Daphnia pulex: one gene and its partner. The protein of the gene in region 1 interacts with the protein of each later gene in a pairwise test. Links are inferred from orthologs where the notes say so. Each region holds a gene or a part of one and is shown in the gene's direction. Other genes may lie near its edges.

The links.
Region 2: the proteins of exocyst complex component 1-like (region 1) and spectrin alpha chain-like interact in a two-hybrid assay, tested with the Homo sapiens proteins (2 studies listed by BioGRID and IntAct). The link is inferred for Daphnia pulex from reciprocal best matches to the Homo sapiens genes EXOC1 and SPTAN1.

What each region holds. Positions count from the first base shown.
Region 1 is NC_060019.1:8,326,472-8,331,052, reverse strand, and holds the start of exocyst complex component 1-like, read left to right. Parts: upstream 1-1,372; 5' UTR 1,373-1,558; coding exon 1,559-1,726; intron 1,727-1,795; coding exon 1,796-1,888; intron 1,889-1,987; coding exon 1,988-2,192; intron 2,193-2,252; coding exon 2,253-2,416; intron 2,417-2,478; coding exon 2,479-2,706; intron 2,707-2,768; coding exon 2,769-2,901; intron 2,902-2,968; coding exon 2,969-3,078; intron 3,079-3,145; coding exon 3,146-3,413; intron 3,414-3,481; coding exon 3,482-3,633; intron 3,634-3,695; coding exon 3,696-3,970; intron 3,971-4,040; coding exon 4,041-4,251; intron 4,252-4,339; coding exon 4,340-4,493; intron 4,494-4,581. Other genes in the region: teneurin-m-like, read left to right, coding at 1-211.
Region 2 is NC_060017.1:5,642,359-5,647,028, reverse strand, and holds the start of spectrin alpha chain-like, read left to right. Parts: upstream 1-1,586; 5' UTR 1,587-1,735; intron 1,736-2,120; 5' UTR 2,121-2,136; coding exon 2,137-2,652; intron 2,653-2,712; coding exon 2,713-2,901; intron 2,902-2,968; coding exon 2,969-3,328; intron 3,329-3,396; coding exon 3,397-3,564; intron 3,565-3,632; coding exon 3,633-3,832; intron 3,833-3,893; coding exon 3,894-4,078; intron 4,079-4,141; coding exon 4,142-4,670. UniProt on the Homo sapiens protein: Fodrin, which seems to be involved in secretion, interacts with calmodulin in a calcium-dependent manner and is thus candidate for the calcium-dependent movement of the cytoskeleton at the membrane.

The sequences.
Region 1 (4,581 bases):
GCAGGTGGACTGGAGCGTTGAAGAAAGGGTGGAGCTGATGACCAACGGAAGAGTCGACGGCTTTGTCGGCTCGGATTTGCACAGCATCTACGACTACCCGCAATTGGCCGATGATGCCAGCAACATTATTTTCCGGAGAGACGACACCAAGCGAAAACGGCGCAAGAGCCATCGCTTGTCGTCACGCCAACAAAGACGGGGGCAACACTGAAAAAAAAACAGGGTTTTATAATTAATCCACCAAACCCATGATCGTACTTCGAAACTAAAAAATATTGTGCTTTGTAAAAAAAAAAAAATAACAAAAATAACAAAAAAATCTGATTATGATTACGGTGCTCTGTCATTCTAATTTGTAATCTTTGACGGAATCATTTGCGCTGTATTTTTACGTCACCAGGAAAAGAAAAACAAAAAACTGCTCGAGCCGAAAAATGAAGCGTAGTCATCACCGTCTCATGTGATAATCAAATATCGAGATGGAATCCGAGTAGAAACATTCTTCGACATATTTGATGGTTTATTCATCTTTTTTTTTACTTTCCTTCCCTGTCCATTTCTATATATTACAAACACACCCACCAGTAAAAGAGATATATTGAAATCACTACTGACATTGGATCCTGTTTTCTTTTGTACTTTAAGAATTGTGTTTAGAGTTGTAACGTTTTTTTTCTGTTATTCCTTCGTGTACATATATTATTCTGATATTTCTTGACCGAAGCGATGCGTCGACATCACACCGCCAGATTTATTTGGGACTCTTCTCTATTGGCATCATTTGTTGCAATATGTTATTTCTGAAGAGTGTGCGATTTGATGACTCTACATGCCAAAATTCTCCTTTTTCAAATGTGCGTGTGTTATTTGAACATGGCGGGCCTAACTTTTGTGTGCGTCAAGTGTCATAATATTCACATCTTTATCGTATATAATAATCTCGGTATGCAAAACAAAAAATTCATGAATCTGAATGATTATGTGCATCTGATATAAATACATATTGTTGTACTGTAACACTTTTGTGAATTTTTTAAGAAATACGGTTGAGCTAAAATATCCAAAATGAAATTTTCGACACGTTGAGCGTTAAGGAAAACAAATGAACAAATGAGACAAATGAAAATCTAGAAAATCAAGTTTAAGATAAATGTTATAATGTTATATTTCAAGAGTAGTTCTCAGTGAAAATTCGAGATTAATAATTATGGTCACCAGATCTGCTGTACACGCCCCTCGGTCTGATAGTCCACCCCTTCCTCCCATTAAAATTATGAATAAATAATCCGATCGTTTGCTGCACGCGCGAGTTTCCGCGTTTTTTAAAAAATAACCCTTTGACTTCATAAGTTCTCCGTATCACTGTTAGAGGACAGCACCATCAGATGGTGGGTGGGACAGCTTCGTCTGCAATATTGTCAGTTGTCACGAAACACAGCAGACATAATATAGTGTATGCAACCTGCTGGCGATTCAACGTTATTGTTATTGAATCTAATTGTTAGCCGATTGATTGACGATTGATTGACATTTTCTCGTTACTTCTTCGTTTAATAAAATGGCTGCGCTAAGGCACAGTTTGCAGCGAGAATTATTTTCGCCTGCTGAAGAAAGATTAGTTGGATTGGCTCATGTGACTAGTGTTGGCAAGAAAAAGAAGGCACTTCCTTGTTTTTTGTGCGTTGCAGTTACTGCAGATCAAGGCATCGGTGCCGTAATATACAAGGTATACTTACTTCAATTTTCCCATGCACCAAATTATGTTCTTTATTCTGTCATTATTTTCAATAAACAGGTAAAGAAAACTGAGAAAAACAATGTTTACAAGAAGAAGAGTAGCTGGCCATTGAAAGAGCTCAAAACTGTGGATGGTATTGATGGCAACAAGGTATAAAGAAATTGTTTTCATATTTGTCTGGTTTGCCCATGCAGACCCTCAAAGAGTTGTGTCATCTTCTTAAAACAATTGTAATTTTTTATTTTGTAGGAAACAGCTGAATTCAGCATTCATTTTGACAAAGTATACCTTTGGTCTGCATCTAATGTTCAAGAAAGGCTTCTTTTGTTTTCCATTTTATGGAAACTTTGTTCAAAGTATTTGCCGAAACAAAGTCCAATGTTTGTTAATATCCCTCCAGGCATCATAGAAGATTCAGTGATACCAGAAACATCCGTAGCATTAGATCATGAAGGTATCAAATTGAAACTTGTGAAGCATTTTATAAGTTGTTCACCTGTTTGATTCAAACTAGTCAGTGGTCCAATGGATGGAGGCATTGGTGAGGAGGATTATCAAGCCCTTACAGACAGAGAAGAGAAAGACCTGGAACGATTATTATCTCAGTCCAATAATGCCTTGAGTAATGCAGAAAAGTTTATGGAGCAACTGGCTAAGGACTTGTCTTTACTTGATGGAGTATTTTATGCAATAAAAATCTATCATTTGAAATATCATAACTGAACTGATTTCTACTATAGGCAAATATTCAAAGCTTGATGGGCTCTGAAGCTCAAGTCATACAATTGTTGAACCTTCTCGAAGCAGCCGAAAATGAAGCTGCATCCATTGAAACCGAGTTAGACAAGTATGAAAACATTCTACTCCAAGCCCGGGTTGCAATGGCAACAGTAGGTGAAAAGAATGTGTCCCTGGAAACTGCCAACCGTAACAATCGTCTTCTACTTATGGAACTCAATAATTTAGTCGTAAGGCTGCCGTTTTCAATCCTCGTTTATCCGCATCTACAATCAATGTGTTTGTGGTACAGGCACATTTAGATATTCCACATTCCCAGCAAGTAACTTTGAACAATCCAGACTTAAATAGTCCTACAGGCCTTCAAAACGCTATAATAGCTGCTAAATCTCTTCAACGTGCTATGAATGCTGAACTAAAACCAGGTACTTGCATTTTTCGAAACCAAAATAAAATAATTCTATTCTCATTTCTCTAATCGTCACTCTTAAGGACTTGAGAAAATGGTTGCGGTTCAAGATCAGCGACGGCAGTTGGAGAAATGGCGAGCAAAATTTACACCCACAGTTACTCGCCAACTCAACAACCTCTTCATTCACTTAGTAATAAAATCAGTTTATACTTACGCTTTTTTTTCCCTTCAATAATATTTTTTGGTTTTCTTTTTAGAGCAATGATTCTGGAGAAACCAGTAGTCAAAGCTCTAGAAGTTCAAACTCTTCGCAAACAACAGTGTCACTGGCTAAACACGGGAAACTGCATTCTCAACTACAAATGTATGCTCCCTTAATGCATTGGCTAAAAGCAACAGACCATGCCTGCTATGAGAAACTACTCGAAGTATACACTACATCAATATGTAAATTGTATGAAAGAGATCTACGGCAGTTCTTTGATGAAGCGCGTTCGAAAGTGATAGGATTGCGAGAGAAAAAACGTAAGGAGAAGCAATTTTTTATTTGAATCCACCTTTAGTGATTTCTGGTTATAACATGTTTACCGCAGTTCGTGGAAGTGATTCGGGTTCAGACATGGGCACCAGGCATTCCTTGTCTATTAAAAATCCTTCAGGAACAAATGTCGCCGCGGCAAGCCCTAGTGGAACAATACAAATGCCGAGTCAAAATTTGTTAGGGAATGAAAGAGAGCTTTGGACGGTACAATATACTATACGAAATTTTAAATGTGTAAAATGTATTGATAAATATGTTTATTACAGGTTGAAGTTGATATTCATGAAAGAAAACGCCTAGAAGACTTGCTTGAATGCGCACTAGCCGAACTTGAACCAGTATGTCTAGTGGAACAAGAATTTTGTGTCGCATTTTTTGCACTGGATCAAGGAGGCCATGAAGCGGATGAATCATCAACAAGTAACAAAACCCCAGAACGAGCCATTAACGAAGAAGTGCGCAAAATGATGAGCGTTTTGTTTACTGTTCTTGAACCGGAGCTTGTGAGCTTTCTTGCTACTTATGAGAAAGTAGATAGCTTGTAAGTGATTTAGAATACTGTACTTTTTAAATTGGAATGCTTTTTTTTTAATCGCTATTATTATTTCTAGCTCACCTTTGTACGTCCTCGTGAGACTTAGTCAGCATGTCTTGTCTGCAACCGATACCGGTTCCTTCCTCAGTGTTACATTTGGTTCATCTTTGGTGCACGTGAAGCGAGCATTCGATCGGTTTTTTATGACTCAGCTTCGCTCGATTGAAGATTCAAAACAGCCTAGGAAATCCAAATGTGGGATTCTTCCTTTCATTTCTAATTTCGAGGTAAAGTAACAAAATTAAAAATTTGTAAGTTAGTTGTATTTTGAATTTATTTTGAATTCCCCACGGCATCCTTTTATTTCATTTCTAGGAATTTTCTGTGATAATTGAAAATATTTTCAAGAATTCAGAACGGCGGGTTGATGTTGACAAATGGTACACACGTTTAGTCCGAGCCATGTTTGAAGTAATGCCAAGGATTTCTATAGAGAACTCTAGGACTCCAGCTGACATGATCAAAATGGGTATTTGAACGATTATTATATCATTTTTCTTTTAATTCAGAGTTTAATTCTAAGAAACAAAGAAATTCATTGCTATTTGTATTTTGTA
Region 2 (4,670 bases), on another chromosome or scaffold:
TATCCTTTTAAAATTTGAACTATAGCTGATGGATTTGAATTTAAAAAAAGAACATGATTTAAAATTACAACGATACTTCCTCTCTCAGTGAAAAAAAAAAGTATCGTGGTAATCCTGTTGTTCTAATGCGGTAGCCCAGACGCTATGTATAACGTAGCTTAAAACTTGGATAAAAACCACATCAGTAAAATCATTCGAAACGAGTAATTTCATCTTATTCATACACAAATAGATAGAAATTACTTGTCGTGGCCCTTTTCTGTTGTTCATCGAGTAGTCTACTTTATCTGGCTACTCGATGAACTACAGAATGTAGACTGGCAATGTGTGTGTGCATCGCAAGTCATTTATAGGGAAAAGCAAGGTCATACAAATGAAAAAGATGTATGGTTAAGGTCAAAGGAAAGACCGCAAGATTTCGATATTAAGGTCCTCTTTGCGCCTCCTACCAGAAGTTAGGCTGGGAACCAGAAGACAAGAACTAACTATTCGTCCTCCGAGGTTTAGTTTGACGAATGCATAGACAGAAGGTCAGAAAATGGTCATTGACCTTGCATTTTCAATGGGAATATTTAGATCTTGGGATCCAGCTTGTTCCCTAAAGAGCACAGATCAAAATATCGTCACTGTGACGATACTTAAGTTTTTGCAGTAAGAACTAATATGGAAAAGTATACTTGTGGAAAAATTTGTAATTTGTAAAAGTTATTCAAAAAGGCAGTTGCTTGTTAGTTGTTATTAAACTTTCTTTTTGAATAAAATTACCTCAACTTTATCAAAATATTTAGCCTAGTGCTTGAATGATGTTCCCTTATGCTGGCGGAGACGTTAACTAATAACTATATGGTATGGCGGGTATAGGCGAATGGCCGGAAGAGACGTTAATGTGGAAGTGTCTTTAAGTAGGAAGTCGGGATAAGATGGGACCCGGCATCGACCGGCATATAGAGGGTGTAATAATCGCCATTCCAGCGATGCAGTCATGAAGCCATATTATATTTTAATTCTATATAGTCGTGTTTGCGTCGTTGTGATTATCCGCTAGTATCACTAGCACTGTGTACTTTTCTTCGATTTTTGTTTTACATGGAGTCGGGAAATTTCTCCGGCTAAAATAATCCTAGTGGATTTTATATTTAATTTTCGAAGTATCGTGTGAACTGTCCAACTCTTTAAAATTAATTTTCATATGGAGTAATAATTAAACATATTTAAAACAATTTATTTGACTTTTTGTCTTGTTAAAGCCGACATCCAAAGTTTGAGAGTCGCCATGAGAGTGATGTCAAAAACAAGACGGACGAGCATAAAATCTGTACTAAAATAAGCACAATCATGGTTTATTTTTAGCTGTTGACGCATTCCACCACATCAGACAAGTATGCACCAATAGAGTGCGCTTTTGAGAAAATGAAATACATTTTTAAAATTATAATCATAAATACTTGTGAACTCTACTGTTTGATAATAAGTATGGAAAAATCATTGTTTTATTTCAATCACCCAACATTTTAAACATATTTTGCGATAAGGATATGAAGTAATCAACGCAAGTCATCTCTGCGCAAGTCAGCTCTCTCCCCCCCTCATTTCTGTAGCCTTCGGCCATTTTGTTGTAGGTGTGGTTACAAGCAGTTGTCTGCAGTTGAAGTTGTGAACGAACGCTTCTAACAGTGTTATTCTTGACCGGGGAACGCCAAAAAAGTGTATTAGGAATACTAAACTTTAACTGAAGGTGAGTTTGAAGTAATAAGTAAGAAGTTGTGTATCATCTGAATTGAATCCCGAAGTTGTAGAACTCTATTTTCACTAAAAACAGCTGCATTTACATGCCCACAGTAACAACAATTACTCGGGCTGGCGTTTTGTTTGATCGTTCCCTGCCCCACCCATACCACAACCGGATATGTTATTTTAAAAGATGTTCGTTAATTTAAATTCTCAAGGCTCAAGGAATTTCATATGAACAATTTGAATTGATAAAAGTACTGCTTTTTTTTCCTTTTGATTTAAACTTATCTTATCTGAATAGCTGTGGAGATAACCAAAGTGTCTTGTGCTAGTTCTTATCACTTTCACATATGACAGTGCTACAATGTAATTATTATTTTTTATTTCAGAAAGTCTACCAGCAACATGGAGCAGACCATAGCTCCGAAAGAAGTGAGGATTCTTGAGACAGCTGAAGATATCCAAGAGAGACGAGATCAAGTCTTGTCTCGCTACTCTCAATTTAAATCAGATGCTAGAGCCAAGCGTGACAAGTTGGAAGACTCTCGTCGTTTCCAATACTTCAAGCGAGATGCTGATGAATTGGAATCTTGGATTTTTGAGAAGCTTCAAGCTGCCTCAGATGAAAGTTACAGGGATCCTACCAATCTTCAAGCCAAAATTCAGAAACATCAAGCATTTGAGGCTGAGGTTGCTGCACACAGCAATGCTATTGTCAGTCTTGACAATATTGGACTTGAAATGATAAATGAAGGCCATTTTTCAGCGGACGTAATTCAAAAACGTTTGGAAGAGCTTCATCGTTTATGGGAATTGCTTCTATCCCGTCTGGCTGACAAGGGCATGAAATTGCAACAAGCTCTCGTCCTGGTGCAGTTTTTGCGTCAGTGTGATGAAGTTATGTTCTGGATTAATGACAAGGTTCGCTCATTACTCTAGTTTTCGTTAAGAATTTAGATTTGATAAATGTTTCTTTTTTAGGAGGCTTTTGTTTCATCTGATGAGTTTGGGTCAGATTTAGAGCACGTTGAAGTATTGCAACGTAAATTTGACGAATTCCAGAAAGATATGGCAGCGCAAGAATTTAGAGTTACCGAGGTCTTGGAACTTGCTGATCGTTTGGTCAAAGACGGCCATCCCGAAGTTGATACTATTAACCGTCGCAAGGAGGTATTTAAAATCACTTACTTGTTTAATGAATTCAAATTAATCGAATCTTTATTCTGTTTATTTACAGGAACTTAAAGAATCGTGGCAGCGATTGAGACTTTTGGCATTGAATCGTCAAGAAAAACTTTTTGGCGCTCACGAAATCCAGCGTTTTAATCGTGATGCTGATGAAACAGTTGCCTGGATCACCGAAAAAGATGTCGTATTGTCATCGGACGATTTCGGTCGCGATTTAGCTAGTGTTCAGACACTGCAGCGGAAGCATGAGGGTGTTGAGCGTGATCTAGCAGCTTTGGAAGATAAAGTGATGACTTTAGGCCAAGAAGCTGCTCGTTTATGCGGCATTCATCCCGATCATGCAGATCAAATCAAAGCCAAGCATCAAGAGATTGAAAACAATTGGGAGAGGTTAACTGGTAAAGCTAAGGTAATCTAAACATGCGCCAAATTGCTTCAATATGACTACTATATTGAGTTTGATCCTTTTATAAATAGGAACGCAAACGTCGTTTGGATGATTCTTACTTCCTGCACCGCTTCTTGTCAGACTTCCGTGACTTAGTCTCATGGATTCATGACATGAAAGCCATTATCGCTGCTGATGAATTAGCTAAAGATGTTGCAGGCGCTGAGGCCTTGCTGGAACGTCATCAAGAACATAGGGTATGGTTTATTTTGTTCGTCAGTAAAGTTGCATAGCCATCAAGTTTATTTTACAATTGTTTGAGTAGGGCGAAATTGATGCAAGGGAAGATAGCTTCCGAGCTACAGCTGACGCTGGCCAGGTCTTAGTAGAAAAAGAACATTGGGCTGCGTCGGAAGTCAACGAAAAGCTGATTACCTTGTCCAACGAGAAACAAAATTTGTTGACTTTATGGGAAGAGCGACGGATTTTGTACGAACAGTGCATGGATCTTCAACTTTTTTATCGGTAAGCTCTACCAAAAGATACCTTTTTTATGCTTCTATTCCAATTTCCCTTTAATTTAAAGCGATACGGAGCAAGCTGATACTTGGATGGCTAAACAAGAGGCTTTCCTGTCGAACGAAGATTTGGGTGATTCTCTAGATTCTGTCGAAGCGCTAATCAAGAAACACGAAGACTTTGAGAAATCATTGGCGGCGCAAGAAGAGAAAATTAAAGCTTTGGACGAATTTGCTTCAAAACTGATCGAAGGTATTTTCAAGATTTGAATAATTTATAACATCAGCATGGTTGCTTATAATTTTCCATTAACAGGCCAACATTATGCTGCTGAGGACGTTGCCCAGCGTCGTGCGCTTTTATTAGATCGCCGCGGAGCTTTGCTTGAAAAGTCCAGCCAACGTCGCGTATTGCTAGAGGATTCTTTCCGTTTGCAGCAATTTGAAAGAGATTGTGATGAAACCAAAGGCTGGATTAACGAGAAACTGAAATTTGCCACTGATGACAGCTACCTAGACCCTACTAACTTGAACGGCAAAGTCCAGAAACACCAGACTTTTGAGCAAGAATTGACTGCAAACAAGAGTCGCATTGAAGAACTTGATGCTGTGGGTCGAGAATTGATTGAAGGCAATCATTGGGCAACTGATAGGATTCATGCTCGTCTGGAAGAAATTGTTCGTTTGTGGGAAACCCTTCTAGCTGCCACCGAACGCAAGGGAACTAGACTGGCCCAGGCCTCCCAACAGCAGCAATTCAACCGAGGTGTTGAAGATTTGGAGATCTGGCTAAGTGAAGTAGAAGGCCAGCTTTTGAGCGAGGATTATGGGAAAGACTTGACTAG